Linked DNA regions of Rhinolophus ferrumequinum. The protein of the gene in region 2 interacts with the protein of the main gene of each other region in a pairwise test. Links are inferred from orthologs where the notes say so. Each region holds a gene or a part of one and is shown on either strand. Other genes may lie near its edges.

Region 1 (7,678 bases), on a different chromosome or scaffold from region 2:
TGTGTTTGCACAATCAGATATAAATGTGCCTCACTGACTGGAATCCATGGTACTATTTTATTGATTAATTTCCTTGTATTAAAAAAGAAACTTCCTACGTCTCTTCTCTATGAATACTTTAGCTTGAAATTCAGGGCCAACCAAAATCTGGCATCTACTACTGTTGAGGAAACTCCTACCTTAAAGCCTCAGACTGTCCCACTTTCCAAGTTTTTGTCAGTGCCCTCCCTGAGCACTTGTATGGTTTCTTCCAGCCTGAGATCAAACCCACCTCCGGGGCAGTTCTGCTTAGGCTTCCAGGCCTGGAGTGGCAGTGCTCATTTCCATTCCTACAGCATTTTGTCTTTCTCATTTACTTTTTTTTTCATGGACGGTGTAGGTGCCTGAGCACTGCAGTATACACCTGAAGCTAAAGCTGAATAATAATATCATTTACTTTTATTAGTTAACTTGTCATATGTGTGTGATATTAACCCTCAGCTTAGCTCCTAAGTGCCCCAGGGTTCATTGAAGACAGGTATTCAAATATTTATTGATTAAGATATTCACACTTAAAATGTGTCCTTTTCAACCTTTGAAATGATAAGCCATCTCACAATTTAAAAGGAGACTCAAAAAATCTATTAAGACAATAAACAAAGATTGACTTTACAAAGATACTGGGAATGTCCCATTTCCTCCTAGGAAAATTTAAGGATTTAAGATTTTTAGAAAGAACATTTGGGACAAAAAGCCATCAAAGACTGATTCTTAAATCCAAGGAATATTTGCATTCCTGCAAGAACTCCATGGTGATGAAGAAAAAAAAGTGTGGAATACTATAATTCTCTATTTAAATGTCAAGAATAGCAATAAGCAAATAGAAAATCAAATTTAGAACAGAAAATATTATTCCCACTCATGGTTAATTACTGATGTTTGATATGGAACCATTTTAGTGTCAACATATTAAATGACATAATTTTTCACAACGACAAAAAACCATTATAAGGATCTTTCCAACTGGAAGCTTACCCATACATATATTCTGAGTATGTTGTAACTTGTCAATGTCGTATTACGATATGTTTGTAATAATGTGATTGAAGAGTCCACATTAATTTTTAGATTTTTAAGCATCTTGAAGGCAAGTGATTTTTGTATTCTCACTGCACTTATTATATGTTGGGTAGTGAGTGGTGTACTATAGACCTCAAATGCCGGAGGCAGGAGTGTGACGGAGAGAAGGACGGGAACTGTGGATAGTGGCCTTGTGTGCAATGAGGCACCTGGCTCTTCACGCCCGTCTCAAACCTCTGCTGTACTGATTACAAGAAATAATGTAGATAAGGGTTTTGCATAGTTCCTGGAACATAACAGTACTTAATACCTTTTTTGAACATATTTTTAAAGAGTGCAAACATATACCACATGCTGTTCTAGGTGTTGGGAATTCCAAATAGAACAAAATTGAGTCCTTGCTCTTGTGGAGCTTACCGTGTAGGGGTCGGTGACAGACAAACCTACCCATAGACAGAATGTGTCAGGTGGAAATAAATGCTATTTAAAGAATTAAAAGGGGAGTAAGCAGTCTGTGTGTGCGCGCGCACGCTGTGGTAAGGGAAGCCTTCTCCCATCAAGAACTGAGAAAGGGTGGGAGTCAGGCTTGCAGGTGTGTGGGGAAAACTGCAAGGAGAGGAAACACCCAGTGCGCAGCCCAACAAACTCAGGAAGAGGATTTTACTTCCCCTTTTTCTTAAAGAGATCCAGATAGAAAAACCTACTACAGGAAGGGACCTTGGCATAATCACCTTGAGCATTTTCACCCTAGAATTAGTCAGGAATACTCCAAGCATGTTTACTAGCCACCCACTGTGTCCAATGCTTTGCCTGTTTAAGGATGGGGGAGGGGAGGGAATTTTAGGGTCTAGGGGAAGAGGGGTGGACATAAGGTCAGCGAAGCAGCAGGGGGTCAGAGCACATGGACTCTTGGTAAGCAGGCCTTGGTAAGAACTTCGGGTTTTTTATTGGAGAGGGGAAACCATTGAAGAACTGTGAGCAGAGAGGTGAAGTGACCCATGTGAATTTGAAAAGCTAATACAGAGTAACTACTATTGCCAAATGCTGTAACCATAGGGATTTACTACCAAAGAGTGCCTGTCTTGGTTCTTTAACTCTGATCTGGTTCACCTCCTATAAGTAAGTACGTGGTGAAGTCATATGATATTCCAGTTTCTATGGGTCAAAAATGGTCAAACACTGTCAAAAGGTTCAGTGTGACTTATTGGGGTGCAAAGAACATGGGCTTTGAGTAAAATATAAGTGGATTTGAATCCCAGACCTAGGACTCATGAGCTACAGTCCTGCGCCAGTTACTTAACCTCCTTCTCCTTGGTTTCCCCTTATATAAAATGGGGATAACAGCATGACCGACGCCACAAGGTTGAAGTGAAGATTAAATAATACACATGTAAAGCACTTAGCACAGGACCTAGGAGTTTAATATGGAGGTGAACCAATTAAGAAGGGGGACTGAATCTTTTACACTAGCAGATCAAATAAATAATTTACTACCCAAACCCTTTCAAACCACTTATCATTTTGCTAGGTATTGAAGAAGCACACCTTACTTCAGTTTTAAAAGAGACAACAGCTTTTTGATGAAATCACTATTTCTTGCATTTTTATAACTCATCCTTTAAATAATTAGTATGTGAATATTCTATGGCGCTATTAACTGCAATGGATGTCAGGTAACTTATTTGAGAGTTAAACGTTAACTTTGTCCACCAAGGCAATTGCATTTCCTCTATCAAAGTAGCTTAATTTTAAAAACTCACTGTGTTCTTCAAATGAACAGGCCAGAAGTTACTTGCCAAAGAGAATTTATTTGAAATTTACTTAGTAGCTTCAGTGCAACTCAATCTTAAAAGTTCCTAAGAATTTGCTTGAAGCAAAATTTTACCCCAACCCCCCCCCCCCCCCCCCCCACTTAGGTTCCCAGTTAAAACACAGTACACACGATTATCAGAAAATTTCAGGTACAGGTAACTCTCACAATGGTCAGTTTGATAGCAAATAGTTGTATCTAAATTATTAATTGAACGTCACAAAATGCAGATTTAGTGACTGATAACATTGCAGAAACCAAAGAGAACTACTACATTGTTGTAGTTCAGAAAATTCTTTCCTAAACTAACCTAAATATTTGAAATCCATCATACTGCAGGGAAAAGCCTCTTGACCACTGCATGGTAATTTTTGCAAGTTTGCAAATAGAATGTTGACTTCCGCTTTTCAAATTGGCTATATGCTCTGTGTTTCATTTCTTTACTGTGGCTGCATTTTATTACTGGATACCGCTGCCATCACGAAGCAGAACATTGCAAACGCCATTCTCGATGCTCAGAATTTCCAACGCCGCGGAGCTCATTCCTGACCATAGCTGGCTCTCGGAATAACGGAATGCGGCAGCAAAGCACACCATGTCCCCACAGACGCGCCCACCGCTCGGACAGGTCACTGCACGGGCAGCAGTAACGCCGTCGGGGCAACGAGGGACGCCTACGCTAGACCGGCCGCTCCTCAGACTCCGTCCGCCGCGCGGCTCTCAAAACCGGAGAAGACCGCGGGGACACTAGGAGTCGTCGTGCGGTCCTCTCAGCCACACCGCGGCAGTCGGAGCCCACCGCGAACAAGTCCCGCGGAGGCGGACCCGGAGCCGCACAAACATTATAGCCGGGGCCTGGGAGCAAAGACCTCCTCGGCTTCCCGTCCCCGTCCCGGCCGTTCGGGGTCCGACGGGCCCCGCACCCCTCGCTGTGGTCCCCACACCAGGGCCAGCAGACCCGGGCCCGCACACCCCTCCCCCTTACCCCCTGGGGGCGCGCCCCCTCCCCACGCAGGCGCGCGGCAGGCCCCTCCCATCCTCCCCCTCGCTCACGGAGCCGGGCGGGGGCGGGGCGACCCTCGGAAGGGGCGTGGCCGCAGGCCTCGACACGCGCACGCGCCCTTGCACCTTACGGCTACGTGTCGGGACACGTGACGCCCACCCCGAAAGTCCCCCTTGAAGCAACAGGACGTTAAAAAAAATAAATAAATAAAAGAAATTTGGGGGGTTGAGGGAGGTGGAGGAGAGGAGGAATGAGAGCTTTTTAGAAAACTATAGTAACGGGAGGAGAGGATGAGGTCGGGCAGCGGCGAGCGCAGCCCTGGCGCGTCCTGCTGGGAATCCCTCTCACCTAACGCCACAGCCCGCCAGCGCCCGCCAGACGAGCCGGCCAGGCGGCAGGGAGCGCGAGGCGGCGCGGCACTCGCCCCCGCCCCAGTCGAAAGCACCGCCACCCGGCGCCCTCCTCAGGACGTCGGTCCCTCCGCCCTACACCGGCCCCTCCCGCCGCTCTCATCCGCCCGCGGCGGCGACCCCGGCCCGGCGCCCAGGCCGGGCTCGCAGTGCGCCGCCTCATTCCCGTCGCCCACCCCGCGGGGGGGGACGCGGCGCGGCGGCGGCCCCTGGGCCGGGGGATGCGTGCGGCGGCGGGAGGAGGAGCGTGCCGGCCGCCCCGCTAACGGCCGCCCTGCGCGGCCCCGCCCGCCGCCCGCCGCCCGCCCCCGGCCCTCCCTGCGCCGCCGCCCCTCCCCCCGCTGCCGCCGCCGCCGCCGCCGCTGGCAGCGCCGACTGAACTGAGGCGAACTCCGCGGCCAAGTGAGTGAGGAGGAGGAGGCGGCAAAGAGGAGGAGGAAGAGGAGGAGCGGAGTCAGAGCGCGGCTGCAGCGGCAACGGTAGAGGCGGCCGCGGCGGGGACCAGCCCGGAGAGACCCCGAGCCCGCGGCACAGGCGGCGGCTGAGCGGGCGCGACCAGCAGAGCGAGCGGCGGCGGCCCGGCTCTTCCTCGTCCGGCCCCGAGCGGCCCGCGGAGACCCGCCTCCCGCCCGCCGGCCTCGTGAGGGACGCGCCGAGCCGGCGGCCGAGAAGCGGCGGCGGGCCGGGAGCGCGTCGGGCCGCGGCGGAAAGTGCCTGCGGGGGCGGGGAGAGCGCGGCGAGCGCGCGGTCCGGCCGCCCCAGCGCCCGGCGCGGGAGCGAAGCGGAGCGGGACGCCGAGTCCCGAGCGGCCGGCGGCCGGGGCTCCCCGCCCCTCCCTCCTCTCCGGCGGCGGCGGGCGGAGTGAGCTGCGGAGCCTGGAATATGGTCGGGGAAATGGAAACGAAGGAGAAGCCGAAGCCCACCCCAGATTACCTGATGCAGCTGATGAACGACAAGAAGCTCATGAGCAGCCTGCCCAACTTCTGCGGGATCTTCAACCACCTCGAGCGGCTGCTGGACGAAGGTGAGTCGCCTCCCGGCCCCTCGCGGCCCGCGCCCGGGCGGCGGCCCCTCTTCCCGGGACCCGACGCGCTCCTGCCAGCGTGTGGGGAGGGCGGGAAGGTCGTGGCCAGAGGGGACCGTGCGCCCGGGGACCGTGAGGCCCGGGCGGGGCGCACGGAGGCGGCGCCGAGGCCCGGGGCGCGGCGGGCGGGCGGGGGTCGGCGGCGCGGGCGGGACCCACCGGCGGGACGCCCCCCAGCCCCCGGGCCCCGCGCCGCCCGAGGGCTGCGCTGAGGAGGCTGCACGGCGAGCCTCCCGCGCCCCCGGCTGCCAGCCGCGCCTGGGAGCACCGCGACGGCCCGGAGCTCCGCGGGCCTCCCGGGGAGGAGCCCGGCCCCGCGCCCCGCGGGCGCCTGAAGGACACCGGCCTCGGGGCCGCTCGGGGTGGGGGTCTCCTAACACGGAGATTCCAGTGGGGCTTTTGCTGATTTGGAGTTTGTGTAGCTTGTAAATACTCGGGGGGAGCCGCGTGGGGCTCGTTAACTTAAAGGAATTCCATAGGAGACCGAAAGTAATGCTGATTTAGCCGAAGGCGAGGACAAAATGACAGCGGAAAGCACTTTTTGTCCTTTTGTTTGGGGAAGCGAGAGAACTGTTCGGGAGTTTAACTTCACTGGGGTGGGGGGGGGGGTGTTGAATACGAAATACCGCGAGGACAAACGCTGAACGGAATCCCGAGTTTCAAAGAACTTCGGCGGAGAGCTGCTCCCGAGGACGCCGCTGCCTTGGTTTGTAGGACAGGAAATCAAGGCACTTGAAAGGGCGAAAATAAAAATTAGTGAAAGTTTGCAAAAAAAGAGAAAGCTTTATCCGTGTAGGGCCGCGGGGAGTGAAGAATGACAAGATCAATTTTGGCCAACTCGAGAATTTCTTTACAAGTTCTTGCAGCCCTGACCTGGAATATTAATCTCTATCTAGTAGCTGTGAATTTTTTGGACTAGAGAAAAAAATATGACCAACAAAAACGTCTATTTTGAAAGTCGAGTACCAAAGAGTTTCTTTTTATGTCTAGAAGCATCACCGAAGGACTGTTTAAAGAAAACTGAAAACTTTAATAGTGATGAACAATGGATTTTAGATTTTTCACAAGAATTTCGTGATTTTTACAGTATAGAACTGGGGAAAAGGAATCAAGCTTAGAGATTTGGCATGTCACTAAAGAACAAAAGACCGGAAATGTTTCCGTGATAAAAGATGGTTAAAGAGGAATCCCAGGAGCTTTCCGTTGTCTTGAAAATCATAGAAACAATTTTTAAAGTACAAAACAGATATTACTGAGTCCTCGTCTTTGCTTACATAGGTTAAACAAGCAGCAGCAACCGCTATTGAAATGGTCTTTTCCCCCACTGTTGAAACAGCAAATCTCTTAATTTCAAATTGCTCCAGAGAAAACTTGAGCTGTCCCTTTAAGGGGTTCTGCTTTTCCTATTTGTGTTGGCATTTGAAAGATTGTGGAGGCAGAAAACTTTCTGGAATGTCAAAAAAAAAAAAAAAAAAAAAAAAAAGGCTGGAACTCTTAAATCGAGTATTTCCAAATGTGAGCGCTAAGGGGCGCCAGTTATTTTTTTTAAAACGAGAAATGTTTGGAGCAAACTGTAATGTCAATAATCTGACCTATATTAAATTTAGTTGAAATTTAAATCATAGTAGATTATTTCATCTGTCATTTTGTAATCATATATGTAGTTACAAACATTGAAAACACTTTAAAATTATTGGGACAATTTTATCACATTTCAAAAATAATACGCTATTTTTTAGTTGGCATATTTTGGTGAAGTTACAGTTGTCTCAGTGTTAGTGAAAATTTCTGTTAAGATTTTTTTTTCCCCTTAAGTACAGTTGTTTAGCAGGAATTCTTTATAGTCGTTAAAATGAAAATAGGCCATGATGATATTTAAGATTAAATTGCATTCTTTTAATTTTAAAATGTTAAATTCAATCAAATGGCATAAGGGATTATTTTTAAAAGTTTGGAAATATTTTCACCTCATGCGTACTATTTTTAAAAGTAAATTGAGTTCTAAAAGGCTCTTCGCTTTTGCTTTTATGTTGATCTTAAAACCTCTAAATGATAATTCGGAGTTGGTTCTCTGTTAGAAAGTTTCTGACCTCAATAATTTTTCTGGCTTCAATAATTTTAATCTTCCAAATCTAGAATTCCAATTATGTCATTATCTCTAACAAATGTTCATTTCTCTCTGGTTGGAAATAGTAACCACTTGAGTTTTAAATGTTAGAGGCTACTAGTTGAGGGTGATACATTCTAAATAATATGTATATTTTTTCTTTTTAATGTGGTTTACTCTATTAGTGTTATGTTAGTCTATCTTG
Region 2 (7,280 bases):
ATCCGTACGTGATTGAACTTGTCTACACATGTGTACTCCCAGAGGCGCACACTGTACAAGGTCAATGGGCCTGGTACACACTGCGCCCATCAACTGGTTTCCTGGGACTGAGGATATGTAAAAGCAGCAAGAGCAAATGGAATAAGGAGAAACCCAGAAAGAAGTCAGGATGGCACTCACCAAGCCTCCTCCATGGTAGTGGCTGCAGGACACATGCCGAAAGCCCCACTGCAGGGGGATCCCCGGGGTCGGGGATGCATCCTGGTAGCCCAGCGGGAACGGGTGGTAAGTGTGCATGCTGGAGCAACCGGGGTACAACTTGGAAGGCTCTCTCTCCAGGTACTCAGACCCCACTGCACAATCCGAGTTGATGCTCAGAGAGAACCCTGAAAAGGTAAGCAATGAGGAAGTGTTAAAAACACAAAGAGCTAGGAAAAAGAGCATCACATTACTGTCCAGCGACAGCAGTATAGTAAACACAGATCCATTTACAAAGAACTCCCAAATCCATTATGCTTTTGACCCTCCCTGCTTTTTAAACCTTTCTACCATATCATACTGCTCTTAGAAAAAGTCCTTGGCACAGCCATGAAGCCCCATGCAGGCTGGTTCCTGCCTCCACTCCAGACTCCTCCAGTACTTAACATAGCAGTTTCTTCTTTCTCACCCACCTCAAGGCCTTTGCAATTGCTGTTCCCTCGGCTTGGAAGGCTTTCTCCCCTAAATCCACTTTGCCTCTTTAAGTCCTCATTACTAGGCTCCTACTCTTCTTCTTTTATACCACAGCTAAACCATTAATTATTAGAGCTCTATACACTGATTTGTGTAATTCTTTGATCAGTAATGTCCCTCCCACAAGGACAAGATCCTTGAGAGCAAGGAATCTGACTTTTCCCCCCCTCACCACTTCATCACTGGCACATACCGTGTTTCCCCCAAAATAAGACCTAACCAGACAATCAGTTCTAATGTGTCTTTTGGAGCAAAAATTAATATAAGACCAGCTCATATTATATTATTATATTATATTAATATTATATTTATTATATTATATTATATACCTGGTCTTATATTTTAGTAAAATAAGACCAGGTCTTATATTAATTTTTGCTCCATAAGATGCATTAGAGCTGACTGTCCGGCTAGGTCTTATTTTCTGGGAAACACCGTATTATAACTAAGTGCTCAGTCTGTTTGCTGAGAGATGGAACAAAGAAAGGCACTATGTCCATGGAAACATCCTCCTAGGATTGCTGTTTCAGGTCTGCCTTCCCCATCTAGTTCCCTAGGGACCTAGATTTTCCAAGAATGTCCCATAAGGCAGAAATGGCCTCCAGAGAGCATCCAGGCCAATCCCCTTAGCATAAGAGAGAAGAGACTGCCACAGAAGGAAGGAGCTTGCTTAAGGTGACAGGGTGAGTAGTCCCCAGCTACTGACTCAGACTTGTGGTCTTTTTACCACATGCCATAGGGGAAAATCAACATACGTCTGCACTCAAAAAGAGCTGTTGTTTAAAAGCCTCAAATCTACACATGACTTGGGAGTTGTATTTTAACGAACATGGTGGCAAAGGAGAAAAAAAGAGTCAACATCTCAATGAACCAACTTTCTCTTCCTGCGTGGAGCAGAGACGCTGTCCCGTTCCCACCCACTCGTAGGAAAAGGGCGGGATAGGGTACCAAAAGGGGTGCGCAGGCGCAATGAGCCAGGGCACGGGTAAGGGCGGGGCCTCCAGAAGGTAGAAAGGTGGGTGCGCAGGCGCAGTCATAGTTGAGAGCGCTCATCCGGAAGTAAGTCCTAGGAGAGGAGCCTCCAGCCCAAGAAAAGAGCGGGAAAGGACGCGCAAGCGGGTTGGGACAATGGAAAGGAGGTCCTCTGGGAGAAGCCTCTAGCCTGTGGAAAGGGAAGAAAGAGTACACAGGATCAGTAATCGTTGTAGGGTGTGTGGGGGACAACGTTCCGGGGGAGGAGCCTCCAGTCAAAGAAAAGGGCGGGAAGAGGTACGCAAGCGCAGTGGAGCCAATATCCCCCATGAAAAGGAGCCACAGCTAAGGCGACTGGGGGCCATTTTCTATTGCAAGATGGAAAGGCAAAAATTGTAGCTAAATGTTAAAAGCTGTCTGGACCACCCACTCCCTTCTATCGCTCTTTTTACCTTTTTGCAAAAAAGGCGCTCAACCCAATTTTGTATTATTCAGTAAAGGTTTCTCAAAGCAAGGTTACCTATGGAAAGCATTTTCCCCACCCCCACCCCTAGGGCCCATCCCAGGCAGCGGGATCCAGGCTGGCCTAGGACGCCAGCGCGGCCTGCACGGAGGCTGCAGCCCGGAAAGGAACTGACCCTGGGGACAAGGCCGCACGGGGCCTAGGAATCTTACCGAAGTCGGCGAACGGCGGACTGGGCACGGGACGCATGGGCCTGCGCAACTCCAGGCGGCCGGGGCCTCCCCTGCCTGCGGCCTCCACCCCGAGCTGGGGCCCCACAAGACTGGGCACAGCCACAGCAGCTCGTTCGCTGGGCCCCATGTGGCCGCGGCCGCCCAGAACTGGCTGGAAGGCGCTTGGGCCGGGGCTCGGGCCCCGCGGTGGTCTCTCCAGCACGTAGGTGGCCGCGCGGCCCTCGGGGCCCGCTGGCTCCGCGTCTCCAGAAGCTGCAAGCTGAGGCAGCGGGTGGAAGCTGGAGGCCGAGGCAACAGCCGTGGCCCCGGAGGCTAACTCATGCTCTTCCTCAGAGGCCTGCTTCTTGAGCATCTTCTGCGCGGCCATGATCTTCTGGCGTTCAGTGATCAGGTAGCACTTCTCGCAGGTGCACTGCTTCCAGCGACACTTGCCAGCATGGCCCTTGACTGGCACCAGGAAACCATGGTTCCGGCACCGCGAGCACTTCGGGGTCCGCAGCATCTTGTCGGCCAGCTTGGCAAGGTCTGCCTTCTTAGCACCTACCGCCTCCTCTGGGAGCTGCAGAGCAAGTGGAGCAGGGAAGAGCAGCGCCCCAGAAGTCTCTGGTGCTGAGGACATTTGGATACAATTGTAACAAAACAGCTCTCAGTACGTCCCGGGAGCTGCAGCAAGACCTTTGCATTTTCCCTCCCTTTTGGAGGGTGCAAAATTTGGAGTTTCTGTGCATTGGTTCATTAGACGCAAGGGTTTGGGTTGAATAAATTCTTCATGGAACGTTATTGCATATATGTCATCTGGATTATCTGAAGTCTTAGGCATTTAGTTTTCCAAAGTTTCTATTCCCGCCACCCCACAGACAAGGTATTTTTTAACTTCAAAAAAGGCAGAACGATATTCAGTGGTCCACAGATTTAAAGCTACAGTGGAACGAACCTCTCAGCAAACCCATTACAGTAGAAAAGCATTCTAAGAGGCAAACCGTGTTTCTCCTTCCAAAAGCTGGGGCTTCTGCTAAATTTTATTTCTCTCCCCTGCAAAGGAAAAAGTGTGCAGGCGCAGCCATCATCATCAAAATGCGGTTCACAGCGATGCTTCCAGAATATTCTCAAGAGCTCAATGCCCTGTTATAGGTGCTCAAGGATGTGTCCTTATGGTAATTCCCATTTCTTAAGAAACTTGTTGGTACAGGAATGCATTTCTAGAAGATGGTGTGTTGCTGTTGTTGATGCCTTCCAAAGTAAAGCATACTTAGAATGCTTTCAAGTAAAGTAGACTTGGGATATTTTAACGTGAGCTTGAATCATTGCTTAACTTTGCCATGAATTTTGTTATCACTGTAAAGCAACCCAAATCTTGGGACAACTGAAAAGCTGGCACAAACTTCATAGTTTCCCAGGGCTACTAAATCACTTAATTTTCTTGTTTGATAGAAATTTGTGACACCCTGAGGTTTGTTTTTGATATTTTGGGGGTTTTTTAGGCTCCAGAAAAGAAAAAATGGGTCACTCACACCTAAGTTGAAAGCTTATAATCATAGCATGAGTCATAGTTGAGGAGGTACTTATGGTTAATACCTGGCTAAAACAAGTGCATTTTAAATTGCCTTTTCTCTGAAATTCTCTTTCTGGCAGCAGAATGGTAGAAGCTATAGCCCTGTGTCCACCTTAATTTTCCTGAGCCTCTGGTTGCAGCTGAACTATGCATTTCTCACCAGCTACCTGAGAATAGGAAATGGCTGCCATTCTGAGGCCTGTTAGATACTGGGAAGCTGAAAAAGAGGTTTGTAAAGTCTTTTTTCTGCTTTAAAGAAATATATTTCCCATTAAGAGGGCAAGAGTATGTCCTTCCTGTATTATTTGGCTCGTCATGAATGTCACCCATTTGGAGAGATCTAAGTTTGTCTCTGCTTTGCTCTAACACCCTCTATCTTAATTTTTTATTTAAAACATGGTCCCATAGATAAAAAGACAGTCAAGCTCTTTTTCTGACTCTACCCAATTCAAAATATCTAATTTTTTCACAGACTTTTTCATTTGAAAATGGTACATAAAAATCACAGTTACAGTACTACTGTCAAAAAATCTGGGGTATAAGCTGCATTGTTTCATGATGATGCAAATTGTAAGGTCAGTTTCTATGGTACCAAATTTAAATTTTAACATCAGATGATAAGGCCTAAAAAAGAAAACTACTCTATTTATATTTCATGCTTGACTACCCAAGCTCTCTTCATTTTTCTATTAATGATATAAAGTAAAATTCTACTCAAAGCCAACTATTTGAATTAACATATTTTAGCCTTGTTAACTACAAAATGCTTCCGTATTTACTTCATAGCTTTGGGGGCAAAATACAACCAAGGTGATGAGAATTTGCATGGTGCTTTGAGAACATTAATAAACAACCACATATCTTTTTAATCAGTAGTCACATTATAAGATGTAGAAACCCCAGGGTTTATACAGTAAATAAATCTAAGGGGGGAAAACACTAGTTTATTTCTCTCTTCCCCCCAAAGTCGCAATTTATGTAGGTAAATTCCAACAGAGCTTTATTTATTTCACTCTTGGAAATTCAGGCAAATTGATAGTTTTGTTTTATTTAGATTGAGGACTGATTTCTTCTTAAGCTGCTGCCTTTATACACACACACACACACACACACACATACATATATATGTATATATATACATATATATTCAAAGAAATGTATTTTAAAAGATGGTAATAACATCAAAGTGAAAAACTAGAGGTCAAAAAAGGATGGGAGCAATAAGCACACAATGAACCCCTTCCCCACACCTAAACCTTAGAAAATTTATGTTTAAGAAAGTCTGCATCATTATAAGCAATGGTTTATAAAATAACAAGTTAGAATTGTTGAGGAATCACCAGTTTGACTAATTAACCACAAAGGAGCTGATTGGTAGTCATATCTGACTCCCAACTTCAGTCAATAATGGCCCCTTTTCCCTTGGATTCCAAGTTTCCTACCTCGAATAATGCCTTCTCTTTGGTTAATATGGTTGCTATTGATACTGTTTAATTCATATTCATTTTAAAGAGCCTGTATTATGCAGTGCATTGGGGTATCATTTATAATCATTAAATATTGCATGCACTGCAATGCTTCCTTACTGGTAGCACACAAGAATAAAGAAGGCTCTTTTTTTTGTTTATAGTATCTTTCCCCCGACAGCTATAACCCAGATAGCTGCTATCTTCCCCTTCTTCAGGCTCACTCTAGTGAGCAATGAAAACTTTATTGAAGATTTTGTAGGGATGGAGGCAGGATTTACATGACACATCCTGTAGCAGATGCTTGAAAATTCTGCCTTAGCATTTCTGTTCTCTCAAGATCCTCTTCTGTTGTGCCACACCCACTCAAGAGAAACTGGCCTCTCCTCCCCCTTTGCCCCCATCAGTACCCAACCTCTCTAGCTTCTGCCTCCTTTTTTGATTTGGCGAGAGCGCTGTAATAGCTGCATCTATCTTATTGTCCTTTATGTCTAGCACACAATAGATATTCAGTAAATATTTATTGAATGTATAAGTGAATCTTACCTCCCTCCCCTGCCAATGTCAAAGTTATCGCCTCCTTAATTAGCAGTAAATCAACTTGGCTTCAGCAACTTTCCCCAAACATCATACAAAACAGAAAGCCCAGGGTGAACAGGTCCACTCTCTTGACAAGCAGAATTTGGGGATCAGCTTTGATTCCCTTCAGCTCACCCCCTACCCCTAATAGTTTAATAATAGTAATAATAGTTGCTAGCACTAAATCTGTATATGTGCCAGTAATTCTTAAGTCTTTTATGTGTGTTCATATAATCCTCACAACAACACTCTAAGGTAGGTACCATTATTTTCACCTCCATTTTATGTGGAGGAACAGGCCTAGAGAAGATAAGTAATTTTCCCAAAGATTTCCAGCCATTAAGTGGCAGAGCCATGATTCAAAACCAGGAAATCTATTCTCAAGATCCACGTTCTTAAGCATATTAACTGCTAACTACATATTTCTTCTAAACAAACACAGTGCTCTCCTCAAGGAAACTTTGATAATGAATAGAAATGTTTGTCATATTACATACCTTACTACAGGTGGGACAAAAGGGGGTGAAAGTGGTAGCAACCTGGGGAAACGTCCTGGGATGCCCTGCTTAGTTGCATTCCTCCACCCAAAGCTGATATTTATTGAGTACCAACTATATGCTAAGCACAAGGGACACAGAAGTAAATAAAACGACAGAATCTTTACCTTTAGGCATACCTTTTGGCAAACCACACAGTTAAAAAATAATTCCAGGTGAAAGCTGGGGATTGAGCGGGGGATACCCAGGATGCTATGGGAACCCCTATGAAGGGCCTAACCTGGATCAAGAAACCAAGGAAGACTTCCTTAAGGGGCTGACTTCTAAGCTGAGGCCTTAAAGATTGGGTAGGAATTAGCCAGCTACAGGAGCAGGAGGGGTGTGTTGCAGACGGAGCAGCATGTGTGAAGGCCTGCAGGGTAGCGATAGTATGTGAGGTCAGAAGACTGGAGAGAGATGAGGTGTAGAAGTGAAGCAGTAGCCAGGTCTTGTAGGGACTCCTTGGGGGAAATTATGGGAGTCGCTATCTAAGACTAAGGAGAGAAAATGACATGGTAAGAACCAGATAGAACCCACCATGGCCAGACGTCTAGTCCCTGCCCTTGGTTTTCTTTCAGAAAGCGGAGCAATAAGTAACTAGGACTCGCATAGGTATTGCAAGACTAAAATGGAGTTGAGTGGGGTTTTCTTTGGGGTGGTTGTTCCAGGTGGGGCATGTACTCAAGGCGAGGCATGGCCCTGAACTAGCACTGTGCTAGGCAGGGTGGTTCTTCCTAACCCTGGAGC
Region 3 (7,032 bases), on a different chromosome or scaffold from region 2:
TCTGAGGCCAAAAGCACCTGGAACACACCTTTAAGGGTCTTCAAGGACTCCCCTTGCTCCAAGGTCCTGGGGCTTTGGGGTTTTAGAACAGGAAGGCGCTAACAAACTCCAGGCGTCTGATTTTAGCAAGACAGCTAAGCCTGGGGGTGGGACTGGGAAGGTCCTCTGTTGGGGCTGTTTTTCCTGAGGGAGGAAGAGCTGCCACACAACTGAGGGGTTCTCTGTGCTCCCGGAGAATCTACCCTGAAGGGCGAAGTTACCCAAGAAGAACTAGATCCACGCTGGGGTCTTTATTCCTCTTACTCCCGATGAGCGGTCTGCCGTCCCCTTAAGCACAGGAGTCCTTCCTCTCACCTTCTCCGCTACATGGCACCAGCAATTCTCTAGAGCAATTCTCTCCTCTCCAGACCCACATCCATCTTCAACTCCGGCCCCATGAATCTGATCCTCTTACAGCCAAGCTCCTGAGGAGCTGTCTCCATTTGCTATCTCCTTTTCCTCTTTTCCTTGACCCCGCCACTCCACTGGAATATCTCTTGACAGCATCACCAATCAACCCCCAGGTCTGTTCCATCCTCATGTGATGCAACCCCTCAGTAGGACTGATGTAGCTAGTCAGACCTTCACATCTCAAACGCCTTCTCTGGGCTCTAGGTCACCGCCCTCTTTCAGTTTTTCTCCTGTCTTACTGGCTGCTCCTTCTCAATGTCTTCTGCTACAGTGTTTCCCCCAAAACAAGACCTAGCAGGACAATCAGCTCTAATGCGTCTTTTGGAGCAAAAATTAATATAAGACCCAGTCTTATTTTACTATAAGACCAGGTCTAATATAATATGATATAATACAATATAATGTAATATAATACAATACTGGGTCTTCTATTGATTTTGCTTATATTATATATTATTATATATTATATATTGAGACCTGTATAGTAAAATAAGACTGAATCTTATGTTAATTTTGCTCCAAGAGATACATTAGAGCTGATTGTCCAGCTAGGTCTTATTTTCGGGGAAACACAGTAGTTCCTCACAAGTGAGAAGACTCAGGGCTTGGTCCTGGGACCTCTTCTCTTTCCCATCTACACTCCACTTTTCTAGGTGATTTCATTCAATCAAGAGCTCAAAATACCATCGATAGCCAGAGGATTTCATATGGTATGTCCAGATTGGGTCCCTCCTCTGAATTCCAGACTTGTATGTCCAATGGCCCGGTCCAGATTGCCACTGTAGTATCCACTAGGCACCGCAAACTTCATGTTCCACACTGAACTCATCTTGCCCTAGCACAGCCGATCTGGGCAAAAACCTTAGCATGATTCCTCTCTTCTCATACCCCCAAACCAAACCATCTGCAAATTTTGTCGGTTTTACCAACAAAATACATCCAGAATTTCACCACCTCCATTGCTTCCACTCTGGTCTGGGCCACCATGACCTCCCCCTTTCCCCATACCATCTCCAGGCAACACTGAATCCAGAGAGATTCTGTTAAAATATATTCAGATCATGTCACTCCTCTGAGCAAAACTTCCAATGGCTCCCACCTCATTCACTAAGCCATAAACTTGTACGATGGGCAAGCTTCAGTACCTCTCTCCAAACCTCCTCTCACTCACTGCTCCAGCACACTGGTCTCACTTCCTCAAACACATCAAGCAAGTTCTTGCCTCAAGGCCTTTGCACCTGCTATTCCTCACGCTTGGGATGCTTTCGCTCTTCACTCCTGTTTATTTTCAGGGTTTGCTCCCTTACCTCTAGGTCTTTATTCAAATGTTACCATCTTACTGCAGCCTTTTCTGACCATCCTATTTAAGACTGCAACCCTCTCGGGCGTACTCTATTCCCCTTTCCTACTATATTTTTCTCCATAACATTTTACTTAGTTATCTTATTTACTGTCTGTCTTTTTTATTAGGGTGTAAATTCCATTAGGTCAGGGATTTAAAATATTTTTATTGATATATTCTCAGTGCCTGGAACGGTACTTGGCACAAATACATGTGTCCAATGAATGAAGAAATGAATGAAAGCAGGTTTGTAATTGAGTAGAAGCTAGTGCCCTAGGGAGAGAACTGAAGCATCTATAGGGGTAATCCTTAGGCCTATCTTTAGAGGAATTATTTACCCGGGTCAGGGAGTTTGAGAGGTATTTAGCTAGAGGAAGGGAATACTTACCCAATAGGCAAGACCTGCTCCAATGTTAGGGATATTTACTCACATGGAGAGATGTGTATCCCTGTCAAAGGGATATTTACCCAATTGGTGGGGTGGGGGTGGGGAAAATCTCCTACCAGGGTGCAGACATCACCTATGACATGAAAAGTATTTACTTGGGTGAAAGATCTGCCATTGCAGGGAGTAAATTAAGCCGGTAATGGGGCATTTATGCAAATTGGCAGGTTTGCCTCTGCCTGGGACGTAAGGACTCAGGGGTAGGGGTGTGTGTGTGTGTGGAGGAGGAGGAAATCAAATCAAGGGGGACATTTATCTTGGTTTGATTTTCCCTGTTCTGGAGTATTCACGCTTATGGGGAGGTCTGCACCTCTCTCCTTATAATCATTTACCAGGGTGGAGATATCTTCTCCCTACTAGTCGGGAGAGATATTTGCATCCTAACGTATTTAGTAGTATCCACCTGAAGAAGACGTTCTGTACCAGTTCAGGAGCGACATTTACCTACTAGTATCAAAAGAGGTGGGCATTCTTTGCACGTTACACCTTTGGCGCCCCCTAAAACAAATACGACCTGGATGGCCGTGGCTCCGGCAGTATTTACCTGGCTTAAGTTCTCACCTTGCAAGAAAGAGGCAGAACCATCCGGCCGGGACAACAGGTTCTGTTCGCAGGCAAAGTGCCGGAGGCTGCAGCCGGGGCCCTGAGGGCCCGGCTCTGTTCCACCCGCAGTGCGGATCTTGGCGTCAGTCTGCATCGCCCCCTCCACAAGACCAAACCACGCGCGCTGTCGCTTCCGCACAGAGTGCGCGCTTGCGTACAGGCGGCGTACCCAGTGCGCACGCGCCGATCCCGGACAGCCCAGCTCGGGGGCCCGCACGTGGCTCCCCGTTTACTAACAACCTGGCCCCGCCCCCTCCTGCCTCACAATTCTAGAAGGAGCATTGGACAGTAGAGAAGGCGGGGCGGGCCTTGGCATGGGCTCGTCCTACCCGAGGCCCCCGGGCCTTAAAATCCTGAGGCTCTGGTCACGTTGCCCTTTTCTTTGCCTGTTACAGAAACAACTGTGATGAGGCGATCAGAGTAATTTTTGGGTAGCTAGGTTGTTTCATACACCCATATATAGATGTCGTAGAGACCGCAGGACTAGTAGCAGGTGGTTTCTTGGCAGGGTGGTGCTGGCATTTGAGTAAGGCTCAGGAAGGGGCAGCTCCCAGTCTCGCGGAGGAGAGGGGAGGAGCGCAGAGCAGTTGTTGTTGGTCAAGATGGCGATGGCGGCTGGCGCGGCGCGGATTTGGGGACCAAGTAGAGGCTCGCGCTATGTTGGCCTGCTCCTGCGGCGGCTTGGGGTTCGGCGGCTGGCTAGAACTGTGAGTACCTGGGGCACCGGGGAGTTTTCCCCAAGGGGGACTAGGGGTGTCAACGCTGTCTTTAGAGTGTGGGGTCCCTGCAGGGAGAGAAGGAAGGGCTGTCACAGAAGGGACAAGGGTAGGGAGAACCACTTGGAGAGGACACTCAAAGGGAGACCTTCCACTTCCTTAAAAGAGGAAAAGCGAGGCAGCTTCTTTGGGGATCCTGAAGGAGGGATACAACTTGGAAAAAGAGGGGGGGGTTCCTCATTAGTTGCCACCCACCCCCCACGGGAGGGGTGGCCCCCTGGAGAGACCAGAGAAGGAGAGGAGACCTTTGCCCACGGGGGGTGGAGAGTGAAACTGCCTTAGTGAGGGGAAGACTTTGTGTTCGGTCAAGAACCCCCACCTTCAAAGAGGAGAAAAGAGAGATCACGTCCCCTGCTACCGGCTTTCATAGTGCTCTGTATTTCTTTGCTCCTTTGCTGCAATTCTGATTTTTAAATGGATGGCATAAAAAAGTTGTTTGGTCCTGGGCCGCCTCACCAAGTACCAGGACAGGGATCTTGTCTGTTTTGATCACTCTATAAAGGAGATGATCAGTAAATATTTGTTGAAGTAATGAGAGGAGAAAACGAGGGAGAGGGGTCCACAGGGCACTTTGTCCACATTTTTTAGAAACACATCGAACTGGAAGTCCCTGTGGGCTACCTTAGAACTATGAACTGAAGTTTCACAATAAGAGAATAGTTGTTTAGAAGGTAGGTTATGAAGCAAGACCACCGTGGTTTTATATCCCAAATCTACAAGTTTACAGCTGTGTAGCCTTGGGCAAGGGATTGCTGCTCTCTGGACCTAATTTCTTTCCCCCTCGGGAAAATGCTAACAGTGGCACTACATAGTATTGTTGTGAAAATTAAATATATAGAATGCTAAGAATTGGCCCTGGCATATGATAAGGACAATAGGAACGTTGGCCACTTTTGAAAGTGAGGGAGGAGGAAAGGGAGGGAGAAGAAGGGTGACCTGGGTAGAGCCTGGGTTGGTGAGGGCCTTGGAGAGAATTTGTCAGGATCTTGTGGTGTTGGGTCTGACCCTCTGACCCTCCAATCCAGAACATAGGAAAGCTGGAAGCTGTGGGAAGGAGCTCTAGATAAGAGGAGAAACATGGGAGGAGGATGAAGAGGATGGGTCGGGAATGAGGGGAGGGATCCTTGGAAGGGCGTCTGGATTTTGGAAGGGCTGCTGGGGCAGGATGTGGGTAGGGCAGTCTCCTGCCTTTGGGTTTGTCTGTGTTGCTTTGTTTTTTTTTTAAAGCAGTAAAAAAAAGCTGTTCTCAGTCACAGGAGCCTGTTGGCTGAGTCAGTGCGAGATGGGCAGGACTGGTGAAAGTGTAGGGAAGGGTCATTTGTGGTTGATTAAATATTGTTTCTCACCCCAATAAATTAAAAAAAAATATTCTTCCTTCTTGACTCAGTCACCCTGCTGCCCTTCCCTCGTTCATTTCTTTTTTTTTTTTTTTGGTGGGAGGGGTGCGCGACAGGAGGAGGAGGTCTTTCAGAATCCCTACTTTTTATTTACATATATTTTTAAGTATGTATATTTTTGGAGTCCCTGTTTTTTCTTCCCCTCTTTTATTTCTTCCACTTGGTCTAAGATATAAAATAACACTTTTTTTTTTTTTTTGAGTGGAAGGAAGGAGGAGTAGCATTTAATCAAAGATTTTAGGCCAGGCTGTCAATAGAACTTTTTGCAGTGATGGAAGTGTTTTATATCTGCACTGTTCAGTACAGTAGCCACTAACCACACGTGGCTACTGAGCCTGAAATGTAGCTAGTGCCACTGAGGGACCGAAGTTTTCACTTTACAGACAGTTGCCAACTTATGATGGTTCGACTTAACATTTTTCAACTTTATGATGGTGGGAAAGCAATACACATTCAGTAGAAAACTTGTTTCAATTTTGAATTTCGATCTTTTCCTCGGCTGGCGATATGATATGCAGTACGGTACTTCCTCGTGACGCTGGACAGAGGCAGTGGGCCCCCAGTCAGCCATACGCTCACGAGGGCGAACAGCTAATACTCTACAGTGTTCTGTGTTGCCAGCGCTTTTTGCATATTGTGTTTTCACACCCTGTCATGTCTACAAAACGCACATCTGTGTCTCCTGCTTCTGATGAGAGGAAAAAGGAAGGCAGTGACTCTTGAGACAAACTCAAGATAATCGCCCCGTTGTAGGCTAATGTAAGCATTCTGAGCTCGCTCAAGGTAGGTGAGGCTAAGCTCTGATGTTCAGTAGGTCAGGTGTTTTAAATGTGTGTGTGTGTTTTTTTTTAAGATTTTATTGGGGAAGGGGAACAGGACCTTATTGGGGAACAGTGTGTACTTCCAGGACTTTTTCCAAGTCAAGTTGTTGTCCCGTCAATCTTAGTTGTGGAGGGTGCCGTTCAGCTTCAAGTTGTCCTTTCAGTCTTAGTTGTGGAGGGCGCAGCTCAGCTCCAGGTCCAGTTGCCGTTCCTAGTTGCAGGGGGCGCTGCCCACCATCCCTTGTGGGAGTCGAACCGGCAACCTTGTGGTTGAGAGCCCGTGCTCCACCCAACTGAGCCATCTGGGAGGCAGCTCAGCTCAAGGTGCCGTGTTCAATCTTAGTTGCAGGGGGCAGAGCCCACCATCCCTGTGGGACTCGAGGAGTTGAACCGGCAACCCTGTGGTTGAGAGCCCACTGGCCCATGTGGGAATCCAACCGGCAGCCTTCGGAGTTAGGAGCACGGAGCTCCAACCGTCTGAGCCACCGGGCCATCCCCTTAAATATATTTTTGATTTATGGTATTTTCAGTTTATGCTGGGTTTTTTTGGACTTCAACCATTGTCAGTCAAGGAGCATCTTACTTAATTTTAATGAATTTAAATAGACATAAGTGGCTTCTGGCTTTTGTGTTGGATGGTGCAATTTTAGCCGTTCAAAGTGGAGCCAGGAGATAGCGCCTTGTGGGGGGGAACAGACTGTAGTGCACAGATTGGGTTGTTCTGGTGGCTGGGTTGGGAGGACGGCTGGGGCTGCCTTATTTCTCCCTGCCTGTCTGCCCCTCCTTTCACCGTGGAGGCATTTGCCTGATTCTGCCTTCCTCCCTCCCCCTCCAGTCGCTAGAAGATAGGTTAGTGCGCAGGGAGAACAGGAGGGAGACTTGATTGTCACGGAGTCCTGAGTCAGTTTCTCAGCCACCACCCCAAGAAGCAAGTGGGACCTCAGCCAAGTCATTTCACTTCTCTTTGCTTAGCAAATGGGTAACTAGAGTTCCTGCCCTGTTGGAATTTCAGGGAGCACCTAGAGCTCCCTGTGTGAATTAGCAGGGATGTTATTTCTCTGACCCAACTGATCAGACAGCCTGTCTGGGCTCTAGTACCCTCTGCAGTGTCTCCAAGTGGTTGGTGCCCTGTGTGTATTGTGGGATGAATGGAGATGGTCCTTACTGATCTAATTGTATGGGTCCATCTCCCTCTTGG
Region 4 (7,676 bases), on a different chromosome or scaffold from region 2:
TCGTACAATGAAAGCATGTATTTTACTTGTAAAGCTCATTAAAGGTTTTATTTTTATTTTTCTTTAACAGCATAATAGTCTGGAGACAGTCCTAGATTCGAATTCAGCCTTGCCCACTTCCAAACTCTTTCGGCTTTAATAGGCAATTTGCTTAATTTGTCTGTGCCTTGGTTTTTCCATCTGTAAACTGGCAGGCGGTGGGGCGCCATCATAATAGTCAATCTCTTAGAACTGCTGAATTGCTGTGAGGATTAAACTGAATCAGGCACCTACTACAACGCCTGGCACAAAGTAGATGCCTGATTAAATTGTCTCTTATTATTTTTAAAGTAAAAATAATAATTACTATTACTGGAAGAAGAAAGAAACGGACCCAAATTCTTCAGAATCCCTTCTGCCCTGAGATTCTCAGACCTCTGCCCAGCTTCCCGGCCTTCCCAGAATCCCAGCTCAGAGTCCCGGACACAGCAGACACTCAACAAATATTTGTCAAACTAGGAGAAAAAGAACTATTATCTTGTAATTTTCCATCTTAACGTGTTCTCTTCCAACTGCCCCCAAGGCTGTCCTCAGCTAAACCAGCCAGAAATCAGAGAATCCCAGTCCCCTCCCCTCCCTCAATATTGCCTAGGAATTTCTGAGGGATCTTGTGCCAATTCTTTCTCTTTGAGCCTCAGTTTCCCTAGCTGCATACAGGGGCTTGCGTCAATTTGAATCCTAGCTGTCTTTGGAGAAGGGGCACAAGCCCAGGAAGTCGGCTGTGACCACTGGCAGGGAAGACCCCTCAGAAGGTGGGAGTAACCCTCTTGTGGGACAGGGAACAGTGCAACTTCTGCCCACCCCCCAGGAAGTGGGAGGTTTGGCCACGGCCTTTAGTAGGGGGCCTGTGGGAGGGCCGGGGCCTCCGGGACTGGGCTAAGGGGGGGGCGGGAGGCCGGCCCAGACACTGCTCCTGCCCTTTTACGGTCTCAGTGAGTGAGGCAGCACTAACTCGGACATCCGCCATCCGCCTTCCACCGTCCCTGGGACCGGAAACGCGGGGGGGTGGGGGCGAGGGGCGAGGCTGGGGGCTGTGGGTTGTGGGAGAAGAGAGTCCCCCCCCACCTCCGGGAAGAGGGTGAAGAGAGCCTGGCTCCTGAAAACTGCCCCCTGTCCAGACAGACCTTGAAGGGAATGTTGCTATAATGGGAGAAAGGGTAGGCAGGAAGTCTTGAGGGTGTCTCTAGGTGCCCCCTTGCTCTAAATTTTCCAACCATTCCTTCGCATCAGAAGAAACAAATACGGGAGGGGGATTCTCTAATGGTCATAAAAAGGAATGCCACCCTGATGTCAGAGGGCAGAGGTATGGGGAACGTGGGGGAAGTGGGAGGATGTAGGCACCAGGGGGTTAATCCCCAGCCGTCCCCAGAGGCCGCCTCCACAAGCTGGGGGCTTTGGGGCAGGAAGTCCCTGAGAGAGTAAAGGAAGGGAGATAGTATTGTCAGGCTCTGGCCCCAAGGGAGAGATTATGGGGGGTCAAGGGGAGGAGAGAATGGGGGGATCCAGTCGAGTTTCCCAGCCCGCACTGGCCCCGCCCTCAGGTGCGCCCAGGAGTTTTGAGGCAGGCCTGGGTAAGACAAAATCCTTAGGTACCTTGGGTCCCCCCCCCGCCAGGATTAAATTCCTGGGAAGATAGCTGAAACTATCTGGGAAGCCTGGGTCCTGGGAAGAGAGGACTATGACCTTGAAGCTTTCCAGCGCCCCCTCCTCCAACCCCAGAGCTCCGATGGCTGGAGAGTTGGGGTAGCGAGAAGGGAGAGGCGCCGTGGTGGGGAAAGCAGCCAGCCCACAGCGCTCCTGGCCCGCCCCCCACACACCAGCTGTCTCGACAGGTGAGTCAGTAAGACAAAGGCCCCCCTTTCCACAGCTGCCGCACCCCCTCCCTCCCAGGGCCGCGCAGGTGGGGTAGAGGGGCCGCCCTTCTCTGGCCCAGAGCCGGGGAGCCGCCCTCCGCATAGAGCACTCCCTCGGTCCTAGGCACGGCCTGTTTTAAACAGATTGGGAGTGCGGAGCGGCGGGGGAGGGGTGTCCCAACCAGACCCTGTAGGCTACGTCTGTCTCCGTCCGCAACCACCTCTTCCATTGGATAAGAGCCCCTCCAAATTTAGGGGGTTAAGTACCCTCGAAGTTAAGGAGCGAGGTCCCACATGGTACGACTTTCCAGCGTCACGTAAAGAGGAACCCTGCAAACCAATGTCTACGTCTCAATCTCTCAGGTGCCAGGGACCCTCTGACTGGCCCCCCACAATCCCTCTCTGAGTCCGAGTTTAGATTTGGGGGGAGTCTGAGCCCTGACTAAATCCTGACCTCCTTACAGGGAGTATCTGCCAACTTGGAGGTCTTTTGAAGAAGTCTTTTAAGAAATTTGGGAGTCCTCCGAGCGCCCCAAATCTGAGGGCTCCCTGGAGAGCTTCACCGGTACCACCTCGAGCCTTGGGAGTCATGGGAAAATGGTCAATATTTGGAGCTCATCCAAGCAGGTTCGGCCTCAAAGCCGAGGCTCCGAGTGGCCGGTCCCCAAATTTCAGCCAGGAGCGAGCTGGGGGGAGGGGGGACAAAGGCGGGGCGGGGAGCCCGCCCCGGGTGGAGAAGGGTCTGTAGGAAGTTGGGGGCTCACCTCATGGCTGCTCGGCAGGCAGGCAGCGCACCCACAGGGTGGGTGCTGCCGGGGAGCCCCTGGCTCGAGGTTCAGAGGTCCGGGGTTGGATCCAGGTTCTGCTCAGTCTCCCCCAGGGTCCCGCCCCATAGAGTCCGGCTTCCTGAGGGGAACGTGGACGCGGCCCGGGCGGGTCTTCGGGCGCCTCCTCCCTGTGGGGGTTTGATCGGGGGTCCCTGCGGCGGAAAGGGCGTGCGGCGTCCCCTCCCCGGCGCGCCCCCTCGGCCAGCGGCAGCTACAATGTTACTCTTACTACTGTACTTCTCTTCGCTACATTTCGTTCCAAAATTCCACTCCCCACACCCACAATGCCCTGCGCCTTAAAGGGGCCGCGTACAACTCAAGGTGGAAAGGAGGGGTGGAGGGCGCTTAAAAGGGCAACGCGGAACCCTAGACCCGCTATTTCCCTCTCCCTCATCGTTATTGCAGGGATGCAAGCTGGGGTCACCCCCAAATTAGGGAGCAAGCTTGGTGGACGGGAAGGGATCCTTCCTTGATCCCTAGTTCTCTCCCACGATGGGAGTTCTCAGGGGGATCTCAATGGGGGCAGTTTCTTTTCACCTTCCCTATCGACCTCTCCATTTCTTTACATTCTGCTCAATTAGGGGGTTGGGGGGCGAGGAGGACCCTCTGGTTTAGCATAGGTTCTTTCAAATTTCCTCCCTTATATCCTCTCTTCGGACTCCCCCAATGTCTCTCTTGGCCAATTTATAAAAGGTTACTAAGAGTGAACCGTCTCCCCCTCCACGGGAGGGGGATGGGTGGTGAGGGCCCCACCCCCTTCACTGCCCCCCGCCCAGCCGGGGAAGGTGAGGAGGAAGTGGGCCGAGGGGGCGCGGCCGGCCGCTGACTCAGAGCCGCAGGGGGGTGGGGGTTGGACTCCGGGATAAAACCCTTGGCCCCTTCCCCACGCACGCCCCGCTGTGACTCAGTTTCGCCCGCGGAGGATGGCGGGATCATCCCACAACTGGAGGGCACCGAAGCAGGGAGATCCTCCCTAGTGGTGGCTCCCGCGAGCCCCTTCCCCCACAGGCCAGCTTCAAGCTGAGACCGCACACCCTCCAAGGCTTCCGCAGTGGTTACCGCAGGCTCCGCCCCACGTGACGTCACTTCTGTGATTCCCGCCTCTCCCCTCTCCCATAGAGCGCCACCTGTCCTAGGTAAGGTGCCCCCTAGCCAGGGGCCGGAGCCTGGGAAATCATGTTTGACGTTTCCAAATGTGTAAACTGAGGCCTGGAGACAGGGACTATATCTCGGCTATAAGCCCTCTTGCCTGAACCCCAGAACTCCAGTGGTACTTGGGTGCAAGGTATGAGGGTAAAACCAACAATTCTTAAGGCCCAGTTGACTAGGTGAGGGAGTCAACCTTCCCAGCCTTTGTCCAAGAAGAATCCTCTGCCTGGATGCTGTCCTGACCTCATCTCATACTTCTAGGACATGTTCTAACATTAATTCTTCTCTGCAGAATTGAGTAATCCTTTCCCCTACTCTACCCCACCCTGGGTGACCTTGAACCCTGATCCACCTGGGTTATAATTGTTTCTCTGTGTGTCTTCTCAGGCTGTGAGTTCTTTGGGGGCACAGGTAGACTTCATCGATTTCTGTGTTTCACTAAGCCAGCCAGGCCCAGAACAACAGTGCAATACACATTTATGCAACTGAATGAGAACCCCAGTTTCTGTGTGACCTTGGGCAAATCCTTTCTTCTCTCTGGGTCTCAGCTTTCCCATCTGGGAAATGGGAGATGTGGTGTCTCTGTGTGCCACCTGCACTGCAGTCAGCAAACTTTTTCTACAAAGGTCCAAATAGGAAATATCTTAGGCATATTAGGTATAGGGTCTCTTTTACACATTCTTTTTTTTACAACTCCTACAAAATGTAAAAACCATTCTTAGCTCAAGTGCTATGCAGAACAGCAAGATCCCTGCATTAGAGAAACCCTTGCATATATACACAAGGAGCCTGTCCGAGGATCTCTATGTCAGCAATTATGTGAGGGCAAGAAACTGAAAATAGCCTGTCCATCAAGAAGAGGATGGATAGCAAAACCATTGCACATCTTCTTGTCTGAAGCACGGGGCAGCAGCTAAAAAGAATGAGGTGTGTAAGTGGCATGAAAGAAGTCCCCAACATATTACTGAGTGAAAAAAATTGCCAAATGAGGGCGGCCGGTTAGCTCAGTTGGTTAGAGCGCGGTGCTTTTAACAAGGTTGCCGGTTGGATCCCCACATGGGCCACTGTGAGCTGTGCCCTCCACAACTAGATTGAAACAACTACTTGACTTGGAACTCGTGGGTCCTGGAAAAACGCACTTAAACAAACAAAAGTTTAAAAAAAATTTGCCAATGGCAGCCGGATGGCTCAGTTGGTTGGAGCGCGAGCTCTAAACAACAAGGTTGTTGGTTCAATTCCCCCATGGGATGCTGGGCTGCACCCCCTGCAACTAAAGATTGAAAACTGCGACTGGACTTGGAGCTGAGCTGCGCCCTCCACAACTAGATTGAAGGACAATGACTTGGAGCTGATGGGCCCTGGAGAAACACACTATTCTGCAATATTCCCCAATACATTTTTTTTTTTAAGAATTGCCAAATGATAGAGTATGAAAAAACAATCAAGGAAACAACTTGGGTGTACATGCAGAGTAAAAGTTCTGGAAAAATCCACTCCAAACTCATTGTAGTGGTTACCAATAGGATAGGGAATGGTATTGTGGGGAATTCGATGGTCATACAGCTCTTAAGCCTCATCTTGAAAATGCCAAGCTCAATTCTGCTTCTAGGCTATTGCACTGGCTGTTCCTTCTGTCTTGAGACACTCTTCTCAGGGCTATTTGCATGGCTGGCTGCTTCTCGGGGAAGCAATTGAGTCAGGTCCCCGCTCAATTGTCCCCTCCTCAGAGATCTTCCCTGATGCCCCTGTCTAAAGCATCCATCCCCCGGTGGAAAATTGAGTGGCTGAGGGACAGGGGATGGAGAAAGACCTCATTGTACACCATTTTGTACCCTTTGAATTTTGAACCAACTGAACTTATTACCACTCAAAAGATAAATGAATAACAATTTAAAAAACCAAAATAGATTTACTTATCGCATCCCATTTTATTCTCTTTGAGACACTTGTCAGTGTCTGAGATGACCTTATTCATCGGTTCTCTTGTTTGCTCTTTCCCCACACACATACTAGGTGGGCCCCTACAATAGGCACGAATCTCAGTGAGTCTCCCTGGTCGATGGCCACGAACAGTGCCCAATACATATTTGCAAATGACTGGGTAAATAATGTTTGCGGGGTTTTTTTCCTACAAGAAAAATGTATTTTGAGTCACGTAATTAACATTTAATAAAAATTCTCTCCTACCTCTCCCAAAACAGATGAAAAATGGAAAGAGAAGGTTATTGAATTGGTTGAACTCTCTTGGGTCCATGGTTTGGGGTTTCCTCCTCCTCTCCCCTCCCCCGGATGGTGGGAGGAACTTCTCCTCCTAAGACTTTCTGTGACAGGGAAGTAGGAGAAGGGGAAATAAGCATTCCGGGGTCCCTCCATCGGCTCATCTTCCTCTGGTCTATAGCTGGGGAAGGGGAGTTTTCTTAGTTCCGTTGGGGCCCCAGCTGGGCAAAGGGTCCCCAAAAGACAACAGCTGTCAGGCCTCCAAGTCCAAGGCAGAGCTTGAATGATGCCAGTGGCCTTCCCAGTCCCGTTCTGCCCCTTCTGTAACAGAAAATGTAAGAGACAGTGCATTTCTTTTCCTCTCAGTATCTACTCCCCTATATTCTGGAAGCATCACTCCTATTTTTCTTTGAGGGACCACGATTCCCCATCTCTAAAACCATCAAGTTTGGATGCAGTGAATCCCAACCATAAGCACTAAGAATGGACATATGACCCTAGCCTGGCCAATCAGAGACAACAGTGATTTGAGCAGACATGTGACCCAGTGCTACCAAGGAGAACCAGCTCTGAAACTACTGCTGCAACTACTGGGGAACTGGTACATTCTCTCCATTGAGGATGTTAGGCTTGGAGGATGTGAGGCTGGAGCTGCAACTCGCTGCTACCTCATGAAGAGACCCTGCCTGGGAACGAAGCCAACTCAGAGGAAATAAAACTACATCTGACAACTGGATGTAGTCATGCCTTAAGTCCCTGAACTCTTCAATTAACATGGCCCAGTAAATTGTTTTGTTTTTCTAGGTTGAACTGGGTTTCCTTCCCTCACAAATACCTCCTTCTGCTGCTGAGAACTATCAACAATAGCCCTCCTTCAAGTGCGAATAACCACTCTCTTCTCTGCTATGCAAAGGCCTTTGGGTTCTGGCCCCAGCTTTCTCCCTCCCATTTCCCCCGAGTCCCACCTTACACACCTTCCTTATACCTCACCCACCACATCTTTGGACATCTCCAAATGCCCCAAACTATCTGGGTCCAATTCACAATCTCTCTCCAAGATCCAGACCATCCTCAGAGATTACCTAGTGTCTGCAGTGTATCCAGGCCTGGGGACTGGTTAGCAACATTCCTTGAATTTTTCTGCCTTATTCCTGGATGGAGGGGGTGGTGCTTGGAATGATGGGGCTTTACAGAGCATTGCTGGGGGCACATTTCTTGAAGGGGAAGCACAGTCTGCTTCTCCTTCCCCACCAACAGTGCTTCAGGCCAGGAGTGAGAATTTATTTTAATATACTAGCCAAGTCCCTTGTTCCCTCTGGCCTTAATTTCCCCATCACTAAAGAAGGTAAGGTGTGCTGTATTACATGTTTCTAAGAGAAAATTCAAGAACACAGGGTCCTTACCTCCCAGTGCTCCCCTGAGGCCTGGCAGAGCTGAGAATAACCTTCAGCGATGACAGAGGCCCTGGAGAGCAGAGGAAGACCCTCAGGAGGGGACCCTCCTCCTGCCACCCCTCTCCCCATTCTACCCCATCCTACCCTGACTCACTTGCAGTACAGCCCTCCCCCAGAAGGTAAATCCGGGATGTCCT

What was found.
Region 1: the proteins of DMRTB1 (region 2) and QKI interact in a two-hybrid assay, tested with the Homo sapiens proteins (2 studies listed by BioGRID). The link is inferred for Rhinolophus ferrumequinum from reciprocal best matches to the Homo sapiens genes DMRTB1 and QKI.
Region 3: the proteins of DMRTB1 (region 2) and EXOSC5 interact in a two-hybrid assay, tested with the Homo sapiens proteins (2 studies listed by BioGRID). The link is inferred for Rhinolophus ferrumequinum from reciprocal best matches to the Homo sapiens genes DMRTB1 and EXOSC5.
Region 4: the proteins of DMRTB1 (region 2) and VASP interact in a two-hybrid assay, tested with the Homo sapiens proteins (2 studies listed by BioGRID and IntAct). The two-hybrid records come from large-scale screens. The link is inferred for Rhinolophus ferrumequinum from reciprocal best matches to the Homo sapiens genes DMRTB1 and VASP.

The regions. Positions count from the first base shown.
Region 1 is NC_046286.1:103,614,634-103,622,311, forward strand, and holds the start of QKI (KH domain-containing RNA-binding protein QKI), read left to right. Parts: upstream 1-4,663; 5' UTR 4,664-5,164; coding exon 5,165-5,306; exon of another isoform or gene 5,307-5,354; intron 5,355-7,678. UniProt on the Homo sapiens protein: RNA reader protein, which recognizes and binds specific RNAs, thereby regulating RNA metabolic processes, such as pre-mRNA splicing, circular RNA (circRNA) formation, mRNA export, mRNA stability and/or translation.
Region 2 is NC_046292.1:38,263,778-38,271,057, reverse strand, and holds the start of DMRTB1 (doublesex- and mab-3-related transcription factor B1), read right to left. Parts: upstream 3,020-7,280; coding exon 2,380-3,019; intron 387-2,379; coding exon 181-386; intron 1-180.
Region 3 is NC_046298.1:39,685,713-39,692,744, forward strand, and holds the start of EXOSC5 (exosome complex component RRP46), read right to left. Parts: upstream 3,003-7,032; 5' UTR 2,935-3,002; coding exon 2,799-2,934; intron 1-2,798. Other genes in the region: BCKDHA (2-oxoisovalerate dehydrogenase subunit alpha, mitochondrial), read left to right, coding at 3,443-3,547. UniProt on the Homo sapiens protein: Non-catalytic component of the RNA exosome complex which has 3'->5' exoribonuclease activity and participates in a multitude of cellular RNA processing and degradation events.
Region 4 is NC_046298.1:41,839,606-41,847,281, reverse strand, and holds the start of VASP (vasodilator-stimulated phosphoprotein), read right to left. Parts: upstream 3,002-7,676; 5' UTR 2,662-3,001; coding exon 2,657-2,661; intron 1-2,656. UniProt on the Homo sapiens protein: Ena/VASP proteins are actin-associated proteins involved in a range of processes dependent on cytoskeleton remodeling and cell polarity such as axon guidance, lamellipodial and filopodial dynamics, platelet activation and cell migration.